Arabidopsis thaliana: one gene and its partners. The protein of the gene in region 3 binds, or shares a complex with, the protein of the main gene of each other region. Each region holds a gene or a part of one and is shown on either strand. Other genes may lie near its edges.

The links.
Region 1: GIP1 (region 3) and SPC98 share a complex: the UniProt entries of both Arabidopsis thaliana proteins name them as parts of the gamma-tubulin complex.
Region 2: GIP1 (region 3) and AT5G17410 share a complex: the UniProt entries of both Arabidopsis thaliana proteins name them as parts of the gamma-tubulin complex.

The regions. Positions count from the first base shown.
Region 1 is NC_003076.8:2,053,065-2,061,174, reverse strand, and holds SPC98 (spindle pole body component 98), read right to left. Parts: upstream 4,648-8,110; 5' UTR 4,435-4,647; coding exon 2,180-4,434; intron 2,068-2,179; coding exon 1,806-2,067; 3' UTR 1,316-1,805; downstream 1-1,315. Other genes in the region: WCRKC1 (WCRKC thioredoxin 1), read left to right, coding at 1-39, 128-323; AT5G06670 (P-loop containing nucleoside triphosphate hydrolases superfamily protein), read left to right, coding at 6,156-6,385, 6,480-6,577, 6,758-6,847, 7,075-7,154, 7,694-7,759, 7,837-7,890, 8,006-8,065. UniProt on the Arabidopsis thaliana protein: Gamma-tubulin complex is necessary for microtubule nucleation at the microtubule organizing centers (MTOCs). Required for the positioning of the gamma-tubulin-containing complex on pre-existing microtubules and for the proper organization of cortical arrays.
Region 2 is NC_003076.8:5,727,461-5,738,004, forward strand, and holds AT5G17410 (Spc97 / Spc98 family of spindle pole body (SBP) component), read left to right. Parts: upstream 1-3,149; 5' UTR 3,150-3,190; coding exon 3,191-3,274; intron 3,275-3,389; coding exon 3,390-3,448; intron 3,449-3,563; coding exon 3,564-3,612; intron 3,613-3,915; coding exon 3,916-4,050; intron 4,051-4,483; coding exon 4,484-4,615; intron 4,616-5,153; coding exon 5,154-5,237; intron 5,238-5,314; coding exon 5,315-5,413; intron 5,414-5,512; coding exon 5,513-5,604; intron 5,605-5,886; coding exon 5,887-5,959; intron 5,960-6,033; coding exon 6,034-6,186; intron 6,187-6,274; coding exon 6,275-6,394; intron 6,395-6,480; coding exon 6,481-6,534; intron 6,535-6,678; coding exon 6,679-6,762; intron 6,763-6,878; coding exon 6,879-6,953; intron 6,954-7,039; coding exon 7,040-7,150; intron 7,151-7,383; coding exon 7,384-7,509; intron 7,510-7,620; coding exon 7,621-7,728; exon of another isoform or gene 7,729-8,139; intron 8,140-8,193; coding exon 8,194-8,256; intron 8,257-8,332; coding exon 8,333-8,407; and 6 more. Other genes in the region: AT5G17390 (Adenine nucleotide alpha hydrolases-like superfamily protein), read left to right, coding at 180-654, 741-826, 932-1,228; ER-ANT1 (endoplasmic reticulum-adenine nucleotide transporter 1), read right to left, coding at 1,555-1,839, 1,922-2,293, 2,381-2,644; IRX3 (Cellulose synthase family protein), read right to left, coding at 9,399-9,980, 10,061-10,414, 10,505-10,544. UniProt on the Arabidopsis thaliana protein: Gamma-tubulin complex is necessary for microtubule nucleation at the microtubule organizing centers (MTOCs). Required for the positioning of the gamma-tubulin-containing complex on pre-existing microtubules and for the proper organization of cortical arrays.
Region 3 is NC_003075.7:6,037,235-6,043,314, forward strand, and holds GIP1 (AtGCP3 interacting protein 1), read left to right. Parts: upstream 1-1,820; 5' UTR 1,821-1,972; exon of another isoform or gene 1,973-2,460; 5' UTR 2,461-2,471; coding exon 2,472-2,687; 3' UTR 2,688-2,691; intron 2,692-2,801; 3' UTR 2,802-2,992; downstream 2,993-6,080. Other genes in the region: CRP4 (ECA1 gametogenesis related family protein), read left to right, coding at 335-703; AT4G09560 (Protease-associated (PA) RING/U-box zinc finger family protein), read right to left, coding at 4,418-5,001, 5,083-5,487, 5,618-5,854. UniProt on the Arabidopsis thaliana protein: Required for gamma-tubulin complex recruitment to the microtubule organizing centers (MTOCs). During mitosis, modulates gamma-tubulin complex localization, spindle stability and chromosomal segregation. Necessary for gametophyte development and embryogenesis.

The DNA of each region.
Region 1 (8,110 bases), on a different chromosome or scaffold from region 3:
GCCTAAGTTGGAGAAATTAGCGGCAGAATATAATAACCGGTAAGCTAACAAAAGAATCAACAATTTACATGGATGTTATTGCAAAGGTTGATTATATTGTGAACAAAAATGATTTTTCTTACAACAGAGCAAAGTTTTACTATGTGGATGTAAACAAGGTCCCTCAAACCTTGGTGAAACGTGGAAACATTTCGGTAAAATGCTTAAACATAATTTTGTCCTTCTTTTCTGATGTGGTATGTGCCAAATCTGAACCAATTACTTCCATATTCGTGTGTTATGCAGAAAATGCCTACTATTCAGGTATGCTTACTTTCATCTAATACAACATCAGTATTTTGAGTTTCTTGATACGCATTTGACAATAAAGTAATAGTGAAAAAGTAAATTAACATAATAATGAGAAAAATGAGTGGTGAATGCAGTTATGGAAGGAAGATGAGATGAAAGAGGAGGTGATTGGAGGTCACAAAGGATGGCTTGTCATCGAAGAAGTTAGAGAATTGATCAACAAATTTGTCTAGTTCTCTCTTTTTTTTCATTTCCTACCTTTTTTTTTTCTTTTAAAAAAAATTAATATGTACAGTCAGTTTTCTTATTTTCTTTCTTTATACAATTTCAAACTTAAAAACTCCTTTTTTTGATAATCAAGAAATTTCACATTTTTTTTTCTTTTCGTCGAGATTGAGCTTTGTTAATTAAGAATGGCTAAAGTCAAGGTACAATTGTTCAACCATTCAATTAGGAGGACAAGCATAATCAGAGTAGTAGTTACATTGAAGACAACCATGTTTGGCAAGTAAATGAGCTACTCTATTACAAGTTCTACGAGTGAATGAAAAGCTAATGTTTTGGAAGAAATTTCACATTTTGATTTCTATTTTATACTAATAATTTCAATTAACGATTAAATTAATCAATTCATTAATTGAGCATCATCGTCGCTTTGGCCGAGTGGTTAAGGCGTTTGCCTGCTAAGTAAATGGGGTTTCCCCGCGAGAGTTCGAATCTCTCAGGCGACGAATTTTTTCACCTTTTTTTTTTCCTTATATGTTAACCTCCAGTTTGGCCTGCACTTGCAAATTAATCGACAACCGTGAATTGTTTTTTCTTTTAAATTGGACACGATTGCTTTAGATTTTGAGACTGTAACTCTTGCCAAAAGCTACTTGTTTTTTGTTGTTCATATGCTTCATTCACACAGAGATAGATCAATGTGGATGAGAGGAAGAGTATCACAAAGGTTCTTCTTAATTGCAAGAGAAAGGCTTGCGGATTAAAATCACTGTGAGCTAATGCTTGTGCTCAATCTCAGGCCGTGGCTACAGAAGCTTCTAGATAGTGAAAAATTCAGAGTTTGGAGCCTTTTACACTATGGAGATACACATTATGAAGAAGCAACTGATTCCTTCTTATATCAACCAAGTCATAAAACAAATCATACAAATCAGTGAACCACAGAAGAAGAAAAAAAACTAAAGCTGGAGATCATCAGACTTATAGCACAAACTCAAACACAAACCTTCCCCAATTTACCAACACAAAGAATCTGTTTCCCAATCCTAAACTTTGAAACAAGCCATTGAAAAAACAATCTATGCAAAAGACAGAAAATCTATGAGGCAGTCTCTAAATAAGAAACAGATTCTCCCACGCACCTAGATTTTAAGAAAAGAACCTCTGCATCCCTGGTTCAGGAGAGCCCATGCTGCAGTCAGCGGTTAGTGAAAGACGTAGATAATGTCTTCTTCTCTTGCGATTGTGCAATATGCTTTTCAACTAAACCTGATACTCTTTCAACTTTCTTATCCTTTGGAATGCAATCGGCTGTAGAACTCAGTGAAGTCAAGCCGGAAAAAGAGAAACTTGAGATCTACAGATTGTTGCAGAGGCAAGAGAGATAGGAATCCATCAAGTGACGATGTGTATTCCTTTGCAATACTGTCCATATCTTGACTCATGCTTTGTAGAAATTCTCCAGCACGCTGTGTTAAGCCCTTCCTACCCTCACTGATCCATGAACCGGGCTCTTGCGATTTGTTTTTTTCTCGTCCTGATTCTTTAGATCTGCAGGAAATCGGTGATATTAGAGATCAAATTGTGACCCTAAAATCAGAGGAAAATGTTTGAGCAATAGTTTAAGGTCTACTTTTGTTTGAATATAAAAGACAAAACACACCTTATTTGCAACTCGTGAATTCCTTCATACAAACGATCTGCATGACTCCTGAACCGTAATATAAGCTCAAACAGGACGAAAAGTGATTCGCGGATGGTCTGTGACTGTTCACCCAGAAGAGATTTTCCAACAATGGCGTTGAGGTACTTCTCATGCGCTGCCAAGAGATCATCGAGGTCTTTAGCAGCTTCCATCTCTTTTGAGAAATTAGACCATGATACCTCCAATACCTCAAACATGATGTAATACTGAAAGTTAGTAACAAAATGGTTCATTTCATTCCAAAGGACCTGGCACCGCCTCAGGGCTGAGAGTAATTGCAACTTCACCGAACTTTGAAGCTTAACAAATGAGTTCGAAGTGATGCAATTTGGTTTCATGGTCTTCCAAATTCCGATAAGAGCATGCTCTACCCGTTTCAACTTCCAGAGAAAATTGAACACTCTCAGGTATTTAGACAAAACAGACTCAGTAAACACGGTATCTAATGGAACCCTTGCCTCGTATTCCAATGAGAATACATCCCAGCCTCTGTCTCCACTGCCATGAGGCATCATCTTCACTCTCAATCTGTCTAGCATGTCACGGTCATCATACTGTGCATTTGATGCTCGTATTGCAGCCTCAAGAAACCCAGCTAGCTCAAATGAACTAATATTATTGGCTGGCTCAGAAAGCTTGGGTCCTACAATATCCATCAAGTACTGGACAAAATCACCTTGACCAAGTAGTAAATAACGCTTAATCGCAAGACAATGCTCCTTAAATTTATATCTCTTATATAGAACATCCAACAGATGCTTGTCGATTCTCTTTGCTGCCTCGGTTACAAGATGTTCAAGTGCATCTGTTTCACCATACCCGAGACCTCCTCGCCTAGTTGTTGTCCCAGAGGCAGCTGCTGCTTCTGAAGCTGCATCAGCCCACCCGTGGTCATCACAGCAAACACGAAGAAAGTTTATAGATTTCCCAGTTCTCAGAATTCTCTGAGCTAGACTTGGTGAAATAAAAGATGGAAGCATTGCTGGGTGGAGCTTATAGCCTTCTCTCCAAAGCAAATCGACTTTAACCGGCTGACCTACGACAAAGAATTCACCAAAAGTATCTTCCAACTCCCCTTCTAGAACCCAACTTCTCACCATTTCAAATAGCGGAGAACACACACATCGAAGCAAACTCATCATAAAATCATGAACAAGCGGATCACCATGCTGTGCGTGCAAATGGATAGCCCCAGCCATCGCCCCACCTCTCAAAACCTTACACTTGTCAACCAAAACAGCCATCAGTCTCATTTTCACCATAGGCTCCGCAAACCATACCGACAACCTCCTCAAAGAAAGGTAATTGTTTGAGCTTGCTGATTCAGAAACCAAAGGAATAGGATTCATGGCCTGCGCTTCTAGCACAGCTAACAACTTATAATAATCAGAAAGCTCATCTTGCAACGCCGCACAAAACGCTTGCCCAACAGTTCCCACATCCTCAGCTGGAAACCGATCCATACTCTCAGTTATAAAAGTCTTAACCTTTCTAAACAACCAACCAAGCTCAGAGAGCATACGAACCATAATCCTCGTAGCTCGAGGCACCTTAACAGACTCCTGCACGGCATAACCGTCGATTTCACTGTTAAATTTGACATATTTCCCATCAATTCCTTGGCTAGCATACAAAACATCCCTCACTAGAACCTCCTCCGTCACTTCATTCTCTTCCTTAACCAAAATGGCATACTCTCTAAACGCAATATCCCTCAAATTCTCAGGATCTTTACTAACCAACAAAACCCCATTACTCCAATCCTTCTTCTTAGCCTCTCCACGGCTCAAAACCCCATTACCAGTATCACCAATCCCCAAATTAGGTAACAAAACCGAGGAATCAAGACCATTTATAGCCGATTTACGATCGTCAGAAACAATTTTAAGCAAATAAACAAGAGCCCATTTGTTATTGACACTGCCAGGTCCAGTTTTGGAAGCGAACTTAGTGTAGAGATCGGCAAAAGCGAGTGCGTCGGAGGACTTACCCTGAGTAGCGAGACGGCGTTTGAGAGACTCAGCGATAGCGGTGGCGTCAGGGAGGACGGAAGGAGTAAGACGACTAGAGAGGATACGAAAAGCGTAACGAAGGGTTTTGAGGAAGGCGGGAGAATTGGGATCGAGATTAGGGGTTTGAGGGTTTTGTGAGACGAGACGAAGAACAAGCTCTTGTACTAGATCTGCAGCCTTCTGCTGATCGTCGTCTTCCATAATCAATTCAAGCTTTTGCCTTTTTTTTCTTCTTCTTCGATTTCACCTTTTTTTGGATTTTTTTTGTTCTTCGAAGTTTTTTTGGTGAATTTGATTTTTGAAATCGAAAGAGGTTTTGCAGAGTTTGGGCGAGTGAAGAGAGTAGTGAGTGAACGAATAAAAAAAGATTGGGCTTCTTTTGGACTTTAGAGCTATGTAATTATTTTTCCTCGGCGGGCAATTGAATACATATGTTGAAATCCAAAAACATTGGAATAAAAAAACATTATGCAAAATATCTTCTCATTTTTTTTGTTATAAGTTTTATTTCAAATATATTATTTGAAACAACGGAGAAAAATAATGTTTGAATTAAAAAAAAGTTCACAAGTTAATTGATATGTTACGTAGAATTTTTTTGTTTAATGGAATTTTGAGAATTTTCCATTTTAAAATTAATAAAGAAATATATAAATATGAAAAAACCTCATAATATTTAATTCACAATAAAAGGTACCAATAAAAATGTATACTTTTTTAAAAAATTAACTAGCATTTAAAAAAGATTATTTGGTTTTATCTACCAAATTTATGTATTTATTGAGCAAAATAATAAAAACAGTTCATTTTAGACATTTGTTCTCTGAATAGAGGAATGATTTCTCTACTCATTTTAGGTAGTAAAATGTTTCTCTACTCATTATTTTCATCAATGAAGATGAAAATAAAGGAAGCTTATTTCCACTTTAATCAATTGTAAAAAGAAAAGTACAAGATCGGAATTAAAAAGTAAAAATATTAGACCTATTTTTACGTATGTGGAAAAATATTCCCTGTAACAATCACTTTCTACTTTTTTCACTAATTAATTTCTCTATATTCTGTTTGTTACAGATTGCACACCATTTATATATATACACTACTTTACTATCATTTCCATATCTTTATCTTTTTCACACCAATTTACTTCCTTATCTAATCATAATTGATTCAACAACAAAAGTTTAGAAGTTTATAGCTATTTATGACATAGAAAAATCCGTGAAGGCAAATACGTACAATTGTACATGTGTACGTATACGATTCTTCTCTTATCTTTATCTCTTAATGATGTTTTGGTGATTACAGTTTAAGAGAAGAACGAATAAACAATTGAAACTCGGGTATTATCACTTCAAACTTCAAAGGCAAGCGAGAGATTATTATTAAAAAGTAAACACTCTTTTACACAACAATCGCAATCATCTAACTAATTACTCTTTTAATGATGATTATGCTTTTCTCTTCTTTAAGTTCCTCTTCTTCTTCTTCTTCTACGTAATCACTCACTCTCTCTTGCATCATCATAATCCTTTGCATGCGATTCGGCTTTTAGCGGCGGTGATGCTACATTGAGTTAGTACCCACTTGCCTCTCTTCTTCTCTTTTATTGCAATTTTCGACCTAACCCAAGTGTTCGAAGCTCGTGGCATTTCCGTAATTCTCTTATTCCTCTCATTGTGATTCTCTCACTCGCTTACCGATTGAGCTTTGTAAACTCCCAATTTCATTGCTTTCCTGTCAATTTGCAAGTTGCTCTATGACAATTTGGAATCTTTAGCTCAGTTTGACAAAAAAAAAGGAATCTTTAGCTCATTACACAGTCGAGCATAATTCCGTTAGCTTGGTTTCAGTCTGTACTTGATAAAGTTTTGTACTTTCTTCATTTTTTCAGTCACTCGAAGTTTGAATTTGGTTTTGTGATGGGATCTAAACAAGTATCAAAGACTAGAAATGGTGGATTTAGCAAGTTAAAGACTGTTGAGTCCTCTGCATCTTCAACAACCTCGTCTTCAAAACTTTATCAAGAGGCGTCTGTAGATAGCCATAGCTCCCCTACTTCTTCATCGGTTCGAAGCAAGCCTCAGTTACCACCTAAGCCTTTGCAGTCCAAAGAAAATGTCACTGTCACTGTGCGTTTTCGTCCACTCAGGTGAATATGTTGATTTCTTTTGTGTAGGATTCAAACACTTTAGTTTTATATGTTTGTTCTGTGGATTGTTGACATTGGTTTATGCTTCACTTAGTCCAAGGGAAATCCGGAAAGGAGAGGAGATTGCATGGTATGCAGATGGGGAAACGATAGTGCGGAATGAGAATAATCAATCAATAGCTTATGCCTATGGTTAGTCTTAACAGTTTGACTAGTGTTCATGACTTCATGAGTTTCTGTAACCATCATAAATCTTGTTCTGTGGAATGGATTGAAGTTTCATGCATCATGAATCAAGACCTAAATTAAACTAGATATCAAGGTCCAATCTGCCATATTTTTTCTTGAAATTTCTGTTGTCCTTTCTTGCAGATCGTGTTTTCGGGCCTACTACGACTACACGCAATGTCTATGATGTTGCTGCTCAGCATGTCGTTAATGGTGCTATGGCGGGGGTCAATGGTATGGACTAAACACTTATTATTGCCCTCTCTAGTTAAGACTTTATTCTTAGAAGAGAAAAAGATATTTTTAGTATCAAGCTTACCCGAGCTACAGTACCATGAACAGTTGCATGACCATTCATTTAGAAAATGAGATCTTTGAGTTGCCAAACTCTATCTAGTGCTTGTTCTAGTCTCTAGAACAACTTTAAGTTAGATTTTCTTGCCAATTTGATTTTATTGTAGTGACTTTGAGTGTTAATTCAACCACAGGGACCATTTTCGCATATGGAGTGACAAGCAGTGGGAAAACTCATACAATGCATGTAAGATTCACTAATCATGTTATTTCTTGCTTTTCATCTTATTATAATAGAACGTATTAGGTTACTACCTTGTACAATGTACTTCAATGTGTCATCCCAGACAATGCTTATCTGTCAGAGAGTCATTTACCTCTTCCTTCTTTTCTGGCTAAATCACTGAGTAGTTCAGGAACAAAGTTTCTCTCCTTTAGTAGCCATAATGATTAGCAATAGAACTCGATGTTTGAATCCTAAGATATATCGTTTATATTAGATATTTGGCTATTCCTTCTAGTTAGGGTTTCTTTGTTGACCCTAGAAAGCCTTTTCTTTTACTAAATTTAGCATATGGCTGCACTCTTTAAGTTAGTTCTTTGCTTTACACTTTGCAACCTTCTATAATTTTTCACTTATGACAGCCATGATCAATACATGGCCCTGCCCTAATGCCGGATGATCTTACACACTTCATTGTAGAGTCCATGTTTACCTTTAAAGATGTGCATGAAATAAGAACTATTTTATCTCATGAAGAAAGTTTTGTTTGGTTCAAATGTCAGGGGAACCAAAGATCTCCTGGTATAATACCATTAGCCGTGAAAGATGCTTTCAGCATTATACAAGAGGTACTTCTTAGGATGTTGATTAGTCGAATGTCCTGGCCTAAGTGCTAGTTAAATCACACTTTTCATTTTTCTCGCAGACACCAAGGCGAGAATTTCTCCTACGTGTTTCCTACTTTGAAATTTATAACGAGGTGCTACTCACTGCCTGCTTTTCTTCCCTCCCGTCAACTTTACCAGTGGTGTTGATTGATAGTCAGATTCTGGTTTTGATTTTTCTTAATATCCCTAGGGTTCATTTTGCTTCAGGTTGTCAATGATTTGTTGAATCCAGCAGGACAAAATTTGAGGATCAGAGAAGATGAGCAGGTACTTGTTTCAGCATTTGATCCTCTTATTTACTTTCTGTTGGTA
Region 2 (10,544 bases), on a different chromosome or scaffold from region 3:
AGAAAACAGAAGAGCTTGACAAAAAGAAAAAAACAACAACGTGTGGAACCATTAACAATCAAACATCTTTAATGGCACGCACGTCCTCTCTCAAAAAATTTCCTCACGTATACATACGCTCAAAACATTCAAGAACCAATGCTAAGGTTCCCATTTGAGTTCTTTTTGTAAACAAAAACATGGCGAGATCGCTCAAGAAATCAGCCAAGTTGAGTCTAAGAAGAGTCCGGATCAATTCACCTTCGATTAGGTTCAAACCGGACTCGAGTTCCATAGAGAGAGACCAAAGAATCGAGTTTCTAGGCGAAAATGGTGATGATGCCGGATCCGGAGAAGAAGACACCAAAGAAGCAAACAATGAAAGTGAAGAGGTTGAAGATAAGGAAGAAGAAAGAGTCAAAGTAATTGTAGAGGAGGAAGAAGAAAAAGAACAAGATGATGCCAAGAGCTTTAACATTGGAGGCGGAGAAGGAAAAAAAGAGGCGGTGGCAGCGGTTGAGGCGGTTGAGGAGGAGGCGGAAGGCGGGAATAGAGTAATGGTGGTGGTTGATAAAGCGCTTGCTTCTACCGGAGCTTTAGAATGGGCTATTACGCATACTTTACAACCACAAGACACTCTTTTTCTGTTATACTTTGCAAAACCGTTTAGAAAAAGTTCTTCTCTTTCTCTCCTCTTTGTCAATTTTCTTGTTTAAGGTTTGTTTGGTTTGGCTAATGAGGTTTTTCGGATTGAGTTTTAGGTAAAAGGAAGAACCGAAAACGCGAGGTGAAAACCGATGAATTGGTCCATACTTTAAAGAAACTGTGCCAAACGAAACGACCCGGGGTGAGTCACACTTGGTATTCGATTGTTTATACATATAATGAAAGCTACACTATTACTGTTCTGATCAAATTCTGGCGACGTGTGGATTTCTTTTATGAATGTCAGATAGAAGTGGAGATAAGGAGGTTAGAGGGGAAAGACAAAGACAAAGGGCAGAAGATAGTTGAAGAATCAAAGAAACAACAAGTGAGCCTTTTAGTGGTTGGACAAGAGAAGAAACCTCCGGTCTGGAGGCTATTGAAGAGATGGGCGTGGAAGAGACGCCGTGGACACGAAGGTGTTCTCAAATACTGCCTCGAAAACGCCTCTTGCATGACAATCGCGGTTAAACCCAAGAACCGCAAGCTCGGCGGTTACTTAATCACCACCAAACGCCACAAAAACTTCTGGCTTCTCGCTTGACAACAACGCAAGTTTTCCTCTTTTGTGTTTGTATCATTCATAAGGCTTTAAAATTTTTTCACCTATTTCATCTTTTATACATGAAACAAACTTGCTCCAGTACACAAAAATCAAATAGGCCTTTCTTGGATTATTGATATAACAATGTTACTGCACAAGAACTATGAACAATTTTCCCTATCTTCTGCTGGTTCAATCGGTTAATGATTCCGAGATTCTGTTAATTAACACAATACATTGGAAAGCAAGTGAGACTTCTTGGTGTTTACTAACCTTCTCTTTTTGAGCTCAGCTTTCATTGTCATCGTTTCGGGTTTGGTCCAAAACTACTGAACCCAATGCTTATAAGCAATCTGGTGAAGCTGATCATATCCCGCAAGCACTCCTGCTCCTGCTACTCCAAGAAGCATGTTCGCAGTAACTCCTCTATATAGCGCATAGAACCCTTCCGACTTCAATATCTCTCTTAAGGCATGAATGGTGTTCCGGTATTTAACAGGTTGTCCTGATGTAAGCATCATTCTCCTCCTAAGTGTGTCAAAAGGGTAAGCAATGACGCCTGCAGAGGTAGTAATACTCCAACCCAATAGAAAACTAGCCAAGAAGTTTCCCTGTCACGGAATCAAAGAACCATTTTTAGCTATTTTCTGCTATAGATTAAGAAATAATAACGGCATACATAGATGACATTACCTCTAAGGAACCGACTAACACAATGGGTTTGATGGTGTCGTACATCCCAAAATACATTCCTCGGTAAAGAGTGATTCCCACTATTGACACACCAAATCCACGGTAAAGACCTTTAATACCGTCACTTGACAAAGTTTTACGATACACATCGATCATCCCTTTAAACTGTCTCTTGCCATTAACAGAACATTCCTTTGCATCAGTGCCTAAACGGGTCCGCGCATAATCCAAATGGTACAGAAACAAGGAAGTTGTTGCTCCAGCAGCACTTCCCGAAGCTACATTTCCAGCAAACCACTTCAAGTAACCATCTTTCTCTTTCGAACATCCAAGAAGGTTCTTGAAGTAACCTTTAAATGCAAAGTTGGAAGCCTAAAAGCAATTAAATTTAGTGACAATAAGAATCTAACACAAACCTCAGCACGCTGATCTAAAGTAAGGGTTCTTGGAATGTAGTACCTGTGTAGGGAAATATCGTATGACATTGGCTTGGTTTCCTCTCCAAAAGGACAAAACACCTTCTTCTCTATAGATTCTGGTAAAGCAATTACCCAAACCAGTGTAAGGTCTTATGAGATGTCCAGTCTTTATCATCTCCCCTTGATTCTGCAGTAAAAGCTTCACCCTTTCGATTGGAGCAGCTGCAGATTTGGCAACAATGGCTGCAGCACCACCCATCACAAAATCAGCAGAGAATCTCTCGGATTTTCCGATCAAAGCCATCCTCTTTTCCCTCACCTAATTCTATACCAATAAATATAGAGATGTTATGGGCAAGAGTTTCTTCTGGGTTCTAGAAATATCAAATCCTAAAGCTAAAAAGGAACAAAATTTGATAATAAAAGGAAAGGTTTTGAAGTGAAAAACCTGGAGATTGCTAATTGATTCTCCGCCGCAGAGAGAAGAACTCGGCGGCGAAAGATTGATTTCCAGGTCGAGGAGGAGAAGAAGAGGAGGCGATTTCGTTATTTCGTTTTGAGAAGCCAATAAAATAGAAAAGAGATAATCATTTTCTGTGAATTTCAAAGCTGGAGGTGGAGGACAGGGCAGGAGCAATGGCTGGTTTTTTCTTTCTTTACTTAAAAAAATGGTTTTGTCCTTTTTTAATTTCGAATTTGAAACCAGGATCTGGAAATTTCTGGTTCAATTAAAACCGGACATTTTAAGGAAAACCGGAGATGGTTCGGTATATGGTGACTGTCTGACTGATCTGTGTCTTCTTTTTCATAAAGGTTTAAACTTTTAGTTCCAGAGACTGGGAGCGAAGCAATGGAATCAATGACGCCAATCTCGTGCCCTACGACTCCTCGTTGGAACCAAGACAGACCATTTCTCACTGGTCGCTTCCATCAGGTGCTCGATCTTCAGATGTGCTTGATTTTAGTTCTCTAATTCGTTCAAATTCTATTTAATTGTGAACATTGGTAACTTCTGAGAAAAAGTAGTTTTGACAATGGGTTTATCTCAGGAAACGAGGGCAAGCTCCAAGTTTGCTGATTCTAAGAGGTTTACTTTAGACTCGTCTAGGTATTTTGAAATTTTATACTAAAAATTAGTAATACATCTCTGTTTTAACCTCCCAAAGTCTGTTCCTTTTTCATCTTATTCTAAAGAGTCATTGACCTTTATATTTTGCTTTCAGCAGTTCTGGAGTAGAGCAGGCAATTGGCTGCTATGACACACCGGTTCAGGTTTGTGTTATTTTACAAAGCAAGTCTGTCCCTTTTTTTCTTGGCTTCCACTTATTCTGTGAGATTGTTATTATGTAACCTTGAAACTAGTGTTGGGGTCCTTAAAGCTTGGGTTTGAGTTGTGTAGTTTTTACAAGTTGGCATCATTGTAGGTGAAGTTGGTTTCTCGTTTTCGTGGCATAGACTAGGATAATTGACCTGAGCTAAACAATTGTGGAACTTCCTAGCCTAGGTTTAGAATTGGTGTCACCTCTTTTGTTATGTCCATTTCAGTAACTGTTTTTTATTCCTTTTGGCATGCAGGAGCTTATCGTCATTGATGATCTCTTATCTGCGTTGGTTGGAATTGAAGGGAGATATATTTCAATTAAAAGATTCCATGGGAAGGAGGATAGTATAGCTTTCCAAGTTGATCCATCAATGGATTTGGCACTACAGGTAAGTAGTACTCAACACAATAACTTTTGGTTCCTATCCCAAACATTTTTATCATGATGGTCTACAGTAGTCAACTGCAAAAAATCTGTGATTTCTAACCATGCTTGATCTGTTCTTTCTTAGAGCTACCGGAATTAGTGCATATGTATCATGTATGTACAAAGTCTTTCACATATTGAGACTGTTACAGTGATGTTTGCAAAGTGTATATTTATGTTTATGAAACTTGATGCATTTCATTGGTGTTCTGACTTCTTGAAAGTTCAATTATCTCCGAAGTCCAATAAAATGGACACATGCATTACTATGTTATGTCTAGGATGGTTCTCTCTTTTGAATAGGATTTTTAGAGATGTTATAACGGATTAACATTGTAATTCTTTATTTAATTGGCTCTTCTCATATATATTGACCGTTGCAAATAATTTTGCAGGAATTGGCGAAAAGAATATTTCCTTTATGTGAATATTATCTGCTGATTGACCAATTTGTGGAGTCAAGCTCGCAGTTCAAGAACGGGCTAGTTAACCATGCATTCGCGGCTGCACTCAGGGCACTCCTCCTTGTATGTGATATAGGTTGCTAGCTTTGTGGAAATTGTGATCCATTGTTTGTTGAGTTATTTTTCGTTCCCTTTCTGTTACAGATGGGGGATTTTGCGAACTGGATATGGATTTTTTTAACTAATAGTCAAGTTTGGGGATTTACTCAGTAAACTAAAAATATGAACTTGGAAAGCTCATTTTAGAATGCTCTTAGTTTGTTTATTGGGTTTCTTTCTTGTCCACTGAATTGGTGTTTTTTTATCACATTTCTGAGTGTGTGTATATGCATATGTATGAATATCTAAGATGACACATATAGCTCTTACTGTCTTCTTTGTTCCAAGTTCTTACTGTCTCTCTAATCCCTCTCTTACTATTGCCGCATTGAATAAACTGATAGTCTGATTCTTTTCTTTCCATTTCACATCTTGAGTTTCGTGTCTAACACATGTCATGCATTTTTTGGACTGAGGATATCATTTTATGTTAGCTTTGAGGTAATTTGACAACATTCTTTGCTATTGTTACACTAGTATTAACCATCCTCTCTTTTACCAGGATTATCAAGCCATGGTGGCACAATTGGAACATCAATTTCGACTTGGAAGACTTTCTATCCAAGGATTATGGTTTTACTGTCAGGTCTGTCTTTCTTCAAATAATCCAAGCTACAAGTTACGTAAACATTATGCTGATCGATTGTTTTTCGTATCTCTCAGCCCATGATGGGATCCATGCGCGCATTGGCTGCAGTAATTCAGCAGGCTTCAACGAAGCAGTTTGTGGGTTCTGGTGTTCTTAATCTCTTGCAAAGTCAGGTAGATTCCTGCTTTGGTCATTAAAAGTTTTTGGATTTTTTTGGTACTAGAATTAGCTTTTTTATTAAATGTCCTAATCTTGAAGACTATCATGCCTAGGCTAAAGCGATGGCTGGTGATAATTCAGTGAGGTCATTGTTAGAGAAAATGACGGAGTGTGCAAGCAACGCATACCTAAGCATATTGGAAAGGTTGATTACCATGCCTCTTTCTTTCTTGCTCGTAACTAGACTCCCATAAAAAAAACATTGTGCTACAATCTCTGCCCTTTCCCTTTTGTTATTGCTTGGAATGCTCAGATAAATCTAAGTCCAACCTGTGACTATGTTTTTCCTTTGTTTGGATGGAGTGATTAGCGAACATGTTTGTTATCTTTTGGTTTGGCAGATCTGTACATGGTTACCCTATTTGCTAGATCGCTTATATTATTATTCTTTGATGTGTCAACTAACTTTAAATAGTGTTTAATTAAGGTGGGTCTATGAAGGGATCATTGATGATCCGTATGGGGAATTTTTCATTGCCGAGAACAGGTCTCTCAAAAAGGTACTTCGATTGCTCAGCTCGTCTGCACTATTGTTAATTGCTTGATCTAACAATGTCAATTTTTTTTTGTACAGGAGAGCCTCAGTCAGGACTCTACAGCTAAATATTGGAGCCAAAGATACAGCCTTAAGGATACTATTCCTGGCTTCCTAGCAAACATTGCTGCAACAATATTGACCACAGGGAAATATCTAAACGTTATGAGAGAATGTGGGCACAATGTTCAGGTATGATTGTGAATGAATTTCCTGTTTATTAATACAATTAACAGTGTTTGTGACACTGGACCCGACATTGGCTGATTTTTTTTAACAGGTTCCCATATCAGAGAGATCTAAGTTAACAATATTTGGGTCAAATCATCATTATCTTGAATGCATAAAGGCTGCTCACGAATTTGCCAGTATAGAGCTTGTGAATCTCATCAAGGATAAGGTAATACTTATTTTGTTTTATGATGACTGCTTCTTTGATGTCGTTCCTCGTCAATACACCTCTCTGACCATCAGTATATGATTCAGTATGACCTTGTTGGAAGGCTTCGATCTATAAAGCACTATCTTCTTCTCGACCAGGTATGCTGGTTCTGTTCATGAATAACCAGTTATCTTCAGAGTTCTTCAGAATTTCCTAGGCACAAATTTATCAATGTGAAAAGTCTGTTGTTGAGTTGTTTTCTTCAGTCATTGATTTTGGTATAACAATGTAATGAACTACAGGGTGATTTCTTGGTTCATTTTATGGACATTGCTCGAGAGGAGCTCAACAAAAAAGTGCATGAAATATCTGTTGAAAAGTTGCAGGTACTTTTTTCCCCTTTAGAGCATGATTCAAAATATTAGACAAAGCTTCTTACCATTATTAAATCGTTATGGCCTCTACTTGTTTGCTGGAATCTAAATGGATGTGTATTATTTAGTCTTTGCTAGATCTTGCTCTACGTACCACAGCGGCTGCAGCAGATCCTCGTCACGAAGACTTGACTTGTTGTGTGGTGAGCAGTTAATTTGTCTTTTCCTGGATGTGATGAATTTACAGAGTTTGTACATTATATGTTCTCACTTTGTATTCATATCTTAGGATCGAGCTTCATTGCTTACGACTTTGGGAATGCACAAGGACACTGATAGCAATAGTATTGAGGACCCAATGAGCATCACTGGTCTAGAGACATTTTCCTTGAGCTACAAGGTCTGCTCCTTTCTTGCCTTGTCTGCAACTACCTGTTTGTATCTGGATTCGAACTATTTTGTTCGTCGAGATATATATAAGTAATAACACAGCTTAATGGCTATTAATGGTTGTTATATATAACTACTAATGCATTTCTAGAGTCATCATTCATACTTATATAAGTAATCGACAAATGCATATTCGATTGGCTACTCAATTGTTTGATTGTTGGTTGTGGCTTTGTGTTTCAGGTTCAATGGCCACTATCTATTGTCATATCAAAGAAAGCATTGTCAAAGTACCAGTTAATTTTCCGCTTTCTTTTTCATTGCAAACATGTGGAACGCCAGCTTTGTGGTGCTTGGCAGATACATCAAGTAAGGACTGATATAATATTGTGTAGCTTGTAATTTGTTTCAGTTTTGGTTTCTTCTAAAACCATTTTAATCATTTTGCTTCGCTAACAAACTGCTGTGAAAATTCTACAGGGGATTCGGTCTATGAACTCTAAGGGTACAGCAATTCTTAGATCATCGCTTCTCTGCCGTAGCATGCTTAAATTCATCAGTAGCCTTCTACATTATCTTACATTCGAGGCAAGTCTGAATGTTCTTTTTGTTTTGTTTTGTTTGTTTTTTAAAACATTTTTTTTTGCTAATAGAATGGAATCTGAATATTTTTTTGTTTTTTAAAGATTCTGATTGTCTATTCATAGATCCTGTTTTCCATTGTGATTTTGCGGTGTAAGTCTCTGGAAAACTAACTTCTAGAATTGCTGACATACACTCTGTATATTGAATCCAGATATCTCTGTAGTCGTAAAAACCATACTTACAAATGTAGGCACTTCTTGCAACTGTGTTTTTCGAGAAATACATTCTTGAAAACGTGATTCTGGAGAAATAAGTACACTATCAATGAACAGAGGAGAGAAATCACACCAGAAGTATATAAAGACATAATTCTTTATGAGATGATTTGGTGTTTATTTTAGCAACTATTGCCTCTCTAAGTTTTTCTAATGTTGTTTTTGCTTGTCTTTATGTGGGATGTCTCTTCAGGTTCTCGAACCAAATTGGCATGTAATGCACGATAGACTACAATCCACAAGGAGTGTAGATGAGGTAAGTGTAGAGACCTGCTTTGTTTTGGTTTGCAGGGAAAACATTCTTCATTGAACAATGTGCCATCATCTTGCAGGTGATACAACATCACGACTTTTTTCTTGATAAATGTCTGAGAGGATGCTTGCTTCTTTTACCTGACGTCCTTAAGGTTTGTCGCTGTTCCACTAAATGTTATGTTTTCTCAGGACAGATGTAACAGTGTGATGTGCTTCTCTTTCGTGCAACAAGAGCAAAAATTCTGAACGCACTAATAATAGTGTAATGTTTATCAATATTTTACACTCATATTTACTGATGGTGCAGAAAATGGAGAAGTTGAAATCAGTGTGTCTGCAATATGCTGCAGCCACACAGTGGTTGATATCATCGTCTATCGACATCAATAGCCAGTCTCATCCACAGAAGACAATGATAAGAGACACAACCGTTACAGAGTCCATATTGTAAGTAGTAACAAGGAATTGTTTTTCAAACTAATGGCTACACTATCTCTACAAAAGCCGTTGCTGTTAGAATTTTTGAACTTCATTATCACGGTATTGTTCTAATATGTCTGTTACGTGTTCTACCAGCAATTTCGAAAGGGAGTTCAACTCGGAGTTGCAGAGCTTAGGACCAGTCTTGAGCAAAGGCTCCCAGGCTGAGCCATACTTGACTCATCTCTCCCAGTGGATCCTTGGTGTTTCGAAAGAATAAGAGGTGAGACTTTAACTAAACAAACTCAGGCAATTCAATTTGTTTTTTAATGTTATCAAATGATATTCAGCTTGAGAAGTTGTTATGAGATGTGTGCGTGTGTTTAGGCTTTTGTTGTCGTTTCTTTATTTTGTTTGTGAACTCCACGATATAAGAACAAGTCTCAGGCTCTCTGTTAAAAATTTGCATTCAAGATTTGTGGGTTTTCACTGCAACTACATGTCTCTTGAGGGAAGTATCTGTGAATCTTTTACTGTGTAACTAAAAAGTAGTTTTGTTCAAATTTTCTTACAATGCATTACTCGCTCACAATAAACCCAGATCCATCTGTTTTACTGGCTAATATACAATAAACAAAATCCAATTATGCAATCCAAAGAGAGAAGTGAAAACACTCTCGACAAAGTACAGAAAAAGTTTCAGAAGACGAAAAAGATTTTGCTTCAGCAGTTGATGCCACACTTGGAAGTGTCAGGTCCTTTGGTCTTGAGCACAAAAGGATCAATTCTTACCCAAAGCAAAGAGAAGATAGATGCCAATAACACTGACCAAATCACCACAATGGTTGGTGTTCTGTTCTGTCTACCCATCAGACCTTTGAGGAATGGGTAGAGATGAACAATGACCCAAAAGGAGAAGAAGAGTTTACCAAATAGAGGTCCCCAAGACTGATATCCATTGTTAATGGCATCTGAGATGCCTGCAACAACGCCAACAATGTTTATGATTAAGACAGTTGTTGGAGGGATCAGCAGTGTTGTCCATTTGAATGCGTAAAGTTCTCCAAAGTCATCATCATCTGTTGCCTTTGATGTGACGGTGAAGTTTGTGTCAATGCCTGCTAAGATTTTGAGGAGACCTTGGACAACCGCAAAGAGATGAGCTGAGATTCCTCCAATGACCCAGAATTGCTCGTTTCTCCACCATTCCTCAATGCTAACTCCGCTCCATCTCAATTCCAAGATTCCCGTTACAATGATCGACATAAACAGTGAGATGAAGAAGAGACTAGCAAATGTGCTTATCTGAAAGAAAAATTGGGAAAACAGATAGTTAGCACATTTGATGCAGCTTCTAAGTGCTTTTCTCTGATAATTTTACTAACCGGTGGCATGATGAATTTGTCAGTAAGGAGACAGATGGCTGGAAGGATACAGTAGGCAAGAAGTGGTATAGATGTGAAGGGGTAGATTGTTGTGTTGGCATAAGCAAAACGCTCAAGCCACTTGAGTTTGCCTCCTTTGTAGCCATACCAGAGAGGACTGTGCCGGCTGAAAAATATCTCAACCGATCCAAGTGCCCAACGCAAAACCTGGTTTAACCTGTCTGATAGATTAATAGGAGCTGAACCTTTGAATGCAGGCCTCTTAGGCATGCAGTAAATAGACCTCCATCCACGGCAATGCATCTTGAATCCCGTCAAAATATCCTCTGTGATAGAGCCATAGATCCAACCCAGCTGCAATTTCGAGATACACAAACGTTTTTTACAATGGCCAGCTACTAAATCACAAATAAGAAGGTGATTTCTACGATTCAGTATTATTACCTCAGTTCCCCACTCAGTCTTGTCTTCATAACCGCAGCTT
Region 3 (6,080 bases):
GTTTGTTTGAATTTTGAGATATAAAACTGGTGATTGATTAATTATGTGAAGTCATACGTTATACTTTTATTTTCTCTCTTTTAATCAATATTTCTTAGTTAATGTTGCTTCTTTTACACTTGGAGTTTCGTCTTTATTTTGATTTATAAAACTGTTAATCAAATACCTAATTAAACCATTCAAAGATGTTATTAAAATAATTAATATCACAGTTTTACATTTCATTCCATATAAATAAGCAGGAATCTTATTGTTGTTCATCAATCAAAAACAAACAGAGCATTAAGCATATATTTGGCTATACTAAGGCTTTTTTATTTCTCAGTTTCTCATTATGCCTATCAAAAATGTGTTTTCACTCTTAGTGGTTCTATGCATCATAGTTTCTGTAAATGCTCAGTTACCTCAGTTTCCGGCTCCGTTTCTTTTTCCATTTTCGTTTCAACCGATTCCTGGAATGCCAGGATTACCTGATATAACGAAATGTTGGTCATCCGTGATGGATATTCCTGAATGCATTGCAGAGATTTCTCAATCCATTTTTATTGGCAAATTCAGTAATTTAGGTTCTGCTTGTTGCAAAGCATTTTTGGACGCTGAAGCCAACTGCATACCAAAAATTCCACTTATTCCGCTTTTCCCTCCGATGCTAAAAGAACAATGTTCAAGAATTGCCGGTGTAACTCCTCCTACACCGAAATAGAGTTTTAAATTATTATTTTTTAAATAGATAATTTTTTTTCCAATTTATTTCTTACAATTTTAGCTTACGCTACATGTTATACTCCAAAAAAATATCATATAAAGTAAAAACATTTGAGAAGTTGTATTTGGGTTCAATATTTACTCATTCTTCAATTCTAATGAATAACAGCTTGAAACATCGATTCTATAATTAACTTTGTCTTACAATGTTTCAAAACTTGGAATTATATTAGATAATTCCCTTCTAAATAGACAGTTGTGAGAATTAAATAATTTTTTACGAGATTTAAATTTTACATAGTAATCTGTATTTTCTAAATACAAATTTTAATCTTACACATTCTATAGATTCTATATAACATGCTTTTATTGATTACATATAATAAGGTATTTCTCAGAGTACAACACAAAGATAAGACAAAGACGACTGACGACATACAACATCAAGAAAAAGACGGACGCAACGGAGCCTCTAGATGCATATTGTTGTAAACAAATTGAACGATATAATTGAGGGAAAAAAATAAACTTAAGAAAATAAAAGAATAAACATATTTAAGTTATTAGAAAATATTAAAACACATATTAATATTTTTCAAAACAAAATAAAGAACTTATACTTCTGTTTTGAATATATCAATTTTAATAGAATTAGTTCATTAGTTCAATAGTTTAGTATATTAAATAAAAAATTTGAATATAGAAACATTATTTTTGACTTTATGTATATATTTCTTTTTCAATAAGGTTAGAAAAAATTTCTATTTATGTTTTTAAATATAAAAAAATTTGATTTGACATGTGCGAATATCTTATTAATAAATTTGACACGTGAGTTAATAATTTTGAAAACTCATTTCTTATATAATGAAATAAGCATTTGTTCGAGAAAAAAATATTAAAAACAAACATCTTCTATATGATTTATCTCAATTATAAAAAATCTGTTTTTTTCAGATGTTAAAAAAGAAAAACAATTGTGTCAGAGTTATATTATTTTCTTTTCATTAGTATAATTCATTAAAAAAAATTAACACTATCAATCTTAGTGTCGGAGTTATATTTCAAACATATTTTTGTTTAGAATATTAATATGATTATTGAAAGACAATAAACTTTTTTTCTTTTGACATAACACAATTTACATTTATTGAAAGACCTCCAAGTCCTTTCCCTTCGTCTCCCACTTCTCACTTCACACTGTGAGTCTGCGACTATCTCCAAGACCAAGCTTCATACTTTATTTTTGCAAATTCCGTTTCTAAACGTAAGTTTTCTTATCTTCGTTTCTATCAGATTACTCCTTAATTCTTAGTCTCGAAATAAAAAATTTGAAATTTATTCGATGTTATGCAAATTGCCGCCGACATAAAAACCCTAATTTCAATCTCATTTTTCATCTGAATTACATTTCTTTTGAATTGAATGTTTCTGGGTTGTGTTTTGGTTTTGGTATTAACTGATCTATTAGACTAATCCTTGTTCACCTATCAGATAATATTATTGGGCTCTGAAACAAATTTGACTCACTTTTGTGTGTGTGAGCATTGTATCTTCACTACAAAGCTCTAGCTTGAAATGTTGTTGTGTAATTTATAAGACTCTAGTTTCTAACTTCTTATGTCAAAATCACCTAAGAGTCTTTGACTTGGTTCTTGTTAGATCATAGTTCACTTACTTTTGTCTAATTTGGTTTGGTAGAAACTCTATAATTCACTAACTACCTTAGGACTTTAAAATTGTGGAGTTTAACAGGTGTGATCAGTATGGATGAGGAGGCATCTCGGACAGCAAGAGAGTCACTAGAGCTTGTGTTTCGCATGTCAAACATCTTGGACACGGGTTTGGACCGGCATACTTTGTCAGTTCTCATAGCTCTTTGTGATCTTGGTGTTAACCCTGAAGCTCTAGCTACTGTTGTGAAAGAGCTTCGTCGCGAGTCTATCCCCGATTCTGTCACAACCACACCATCTATACACTGATCAGGTATTGAGAATTTTCTCAGTCTAATGATGATTGACGAGTCTATGCCCAAGTCTACCTCTTTCTGTTGTTTTCAGATCTAACATATCGACCGGTCGAAATTTATGTTGCAGGTATGCAATGGATTATACAAGTATTGTGGTTGGTATGTGAATCTTGTTACTACTTTTTTTGTATCATTTAAACAAAATTTGTATGGATGAATTATAACTTCTTTTATTTGTATGAACCGTTATTTGAAAGCCAAAGTAGCAGAATGCAAAAAAAAGTATATAATTGTAATTTTATCTCTCAAAAGCTCATAGAAAATTCAGTGATCATGTGTCACTAAAGCAGAATGCAAAAGGAATTTGGGATCATCTGATTCACAACCCCTGGAAGGTAAAAACATTCTATGTATCCCCGAAGAGGGAAATCACACTCAATCAAAATCTCTGCACACCAAATCTCCGTTTTACATTCCTTAGTATAAGTCTTCCACCGAACTATCACTCTCCTTCCTCAGGCCAGGGTTTTGTCACCGAAATAAGATACTTAGAGGACGGTTCTTCAAGTCCTCTAATCGTGAACGTGCATATATCACCGCAGACTAGTTTCGAGTTTCAGAAACCCTCGCTGTCCACCATACGTTATTCTTTGACTCTAACAAGCAAACAGTAGGGCACAAACCAATAATTTTCTCGCGAGAAAATCTTCCAGTACATTTTGTTGGCTCCCAAGTCTGTGTCTTTGGGTCGTAAACTTCTCCATAATTCTCAGCAGTGTCATAATACTTACTGCTGATGCCTCCAAACACAGATCTTACCGTCGATAACATTAAAACATGCTTCTTCTCGAGGGACATGCATCTTGGGGAGTTGACGCAAATGATGAGTTTTACAACCAAGTAAATATCTGAACCAAGTGATACAACAGTCGAAGAACTAGGATGTTGGTAAGGAAAGTTAGGAAGTGAAGGGACTGGTATCAGTTTCTGGTTGGGAGAAAGGGAATGTACGAACCAGCCAGGTTTTTTATTTAAGTTTAAGCAAACATAGAGACACTTCTCCTTTTTTCCTATAAGGGATCTTGCGGCCTCGAGGTCAGGGGAAGCTAGGAGTGATCGGAAAGTCTTTGGAGACTAGAGATAGGGTTGGATAATGGCACACTTCTACAAAGTATTGGAAATGTGTTTTTCTTTAAGCCTAGAGACAAAAGGCCTGAGTTTTACTCTTTCACAATGGCTAATACATCCATAGATTTCTGTCTTTAATTGACTCTAATACTTGTATTTCTTCCGTGGCCTTTACGCCAAATCAATCTGTGGTAACATCGGTAGGAAGAAAATATTATAATATTCGTCTTCACCTGTTAATCTACTCGGTAAGTATACGGTATAGTTTCTGCGTAATGGTTAAACTTTTAGAAGACAAGTATTAAGCATATATAGACAAAGAACCAAAGTAATAAGCTAGTTATATACCCACACTCAATGGTTAGCTTAATGATTCACCAGAGACGCTTTACTCTTCAAACTCACTCATCTCACATTCATCATTACTCCACAACTGTACAGCTGAAGAATATCAGTCACACTGAACACTCTTTTTAACTCTATTGTTTGCCAAAATCATGCATGGTCACAAATTCATAGCCGAGGGACATCCTCAGAGGAGTTGATTGCTTCTTCAAAGCAATGAGCCCCGACATTGAACCTTTTGGTTAGTACGGTGTTACCTTTTTTGCGGTTTTACCAGCCTGGTAAGGAGCTCGCAGATGCAAAGTGAATGAAAGACCTGCGCGAGTCATTTTGATGAAGTGAATGCTCGCGCTGGCTTGTTAACAACCCAACAACCTGGCTTCTTGATGCATTTCCCGGGCCAAGTATGTGCGTATATCTTGAGTGGAGGAAACGAGGCAAAGAAACCTGGTGGGGTGAGTTGTAAGATCTTTGGGAAACGGCGTTCCTGAGATCTGCTGAACTCCGGCTAACTGGTATAGGCCGGGAAAATCGGTTTGATCCATTTTGGAAGCTTGTGTGGGAGCGAGAGTGGGAGAGATACATAGGAACTGTGTGTGGCTGCATTGAGGTGGATGGTAAAGAAGGGTCTACTCTGATGGATATTGGTAGCTCATGAGATGACTGCAATGGGGTTGTGGAGGATGATGATAAGAGAAACGATGACGTCGGGGTCATGCTAGGAGTCCGAGAAAGAAAGGGTGTGTGCTCTGATGGGGGCTTGTCGGTACTGATGCTTCTTGCATCGCGTTTGCAAACCGGGCAAAAGGATTTCCTCTGGCCAAGCCACAAGTCTACACAAGCAACATGAAATTCTGCCAAGACAACAAGAAGAACCAATTAAGAATGGTTATGCATGAATTTTTTTTTACTTCGAACTGAGTCAAAGTACTTACTGTGATGGCAAGGTAGGATCCTTAGCTTGTCCCCTTTCTCATAATTCTCAAGGCATATGCAGCACAATATAGATGTAGTTGCTTCATCACAAATACCGTTAAATATGGTAGTAGGCATACGTATTATCATGCTTTTGGGCATACGATGAAAGTCATTGCCATTAAGAGCCAGAATACGCCGACGCCTAACTCGATGCCTACGGACAAAGAAGCAAGTAGCGAGCACAGCCGACATGGCGAGGAGAGATATGAAAGAAATAGCCATGATTGACCATGCTGAAGTCTCGAAACTTGGCATGAGCCACACTTCAAAATCGGTACGACCCGCATACTCTTTAAGTACTTCCCCAGTTGCTTTGGAGACAAACGTACCATAAATAAGTACACCAGAGGGGTTTCCTGCCACTACATTAGATTCACAAGATCATTAACAACTAATGTATGTAACCAAAGTCTCAAGCAACAAATCAAAACAAGAAACAATACAAAGCCTACGACAAAATAACGAAAAAAGGCGAGGGAAAGAAGTGTTTACTTGATACTAAGAACCCAAAATCTTCATAGTCATAAACAATAGCAGCTTTATAACCAGCCTTTTGAGCATTCCTAATCTTATCTTCGAAACTACAACCACCGCGGATAATCAACACATACGGAGGAGACACAGTAGTTCCATTTTTCACATTCACCGTATTCACCAAATCCGAACAAGCATCGAGTGGCTCTGCTACATACAACACACCGCCTTGATCCGATCTCTTAATCATCGGAGCTGAAAAAACAGTAAATCAATCACCATTACCATCAAAGCCAATGAACAAAAATCTGATAACAACCCAATTTCTCAAATCTGATTTAGAACAAACCATAACTTGAAAAAGACAACAAAGTTTCAAACTTTCTCTATAAACGATCAAACCCAAATAACAAAAGCTGAACAAATTCAAAACCCAATTTCTCAATTCTAATTTGGAACATTTCAAACAAACAATAACTTG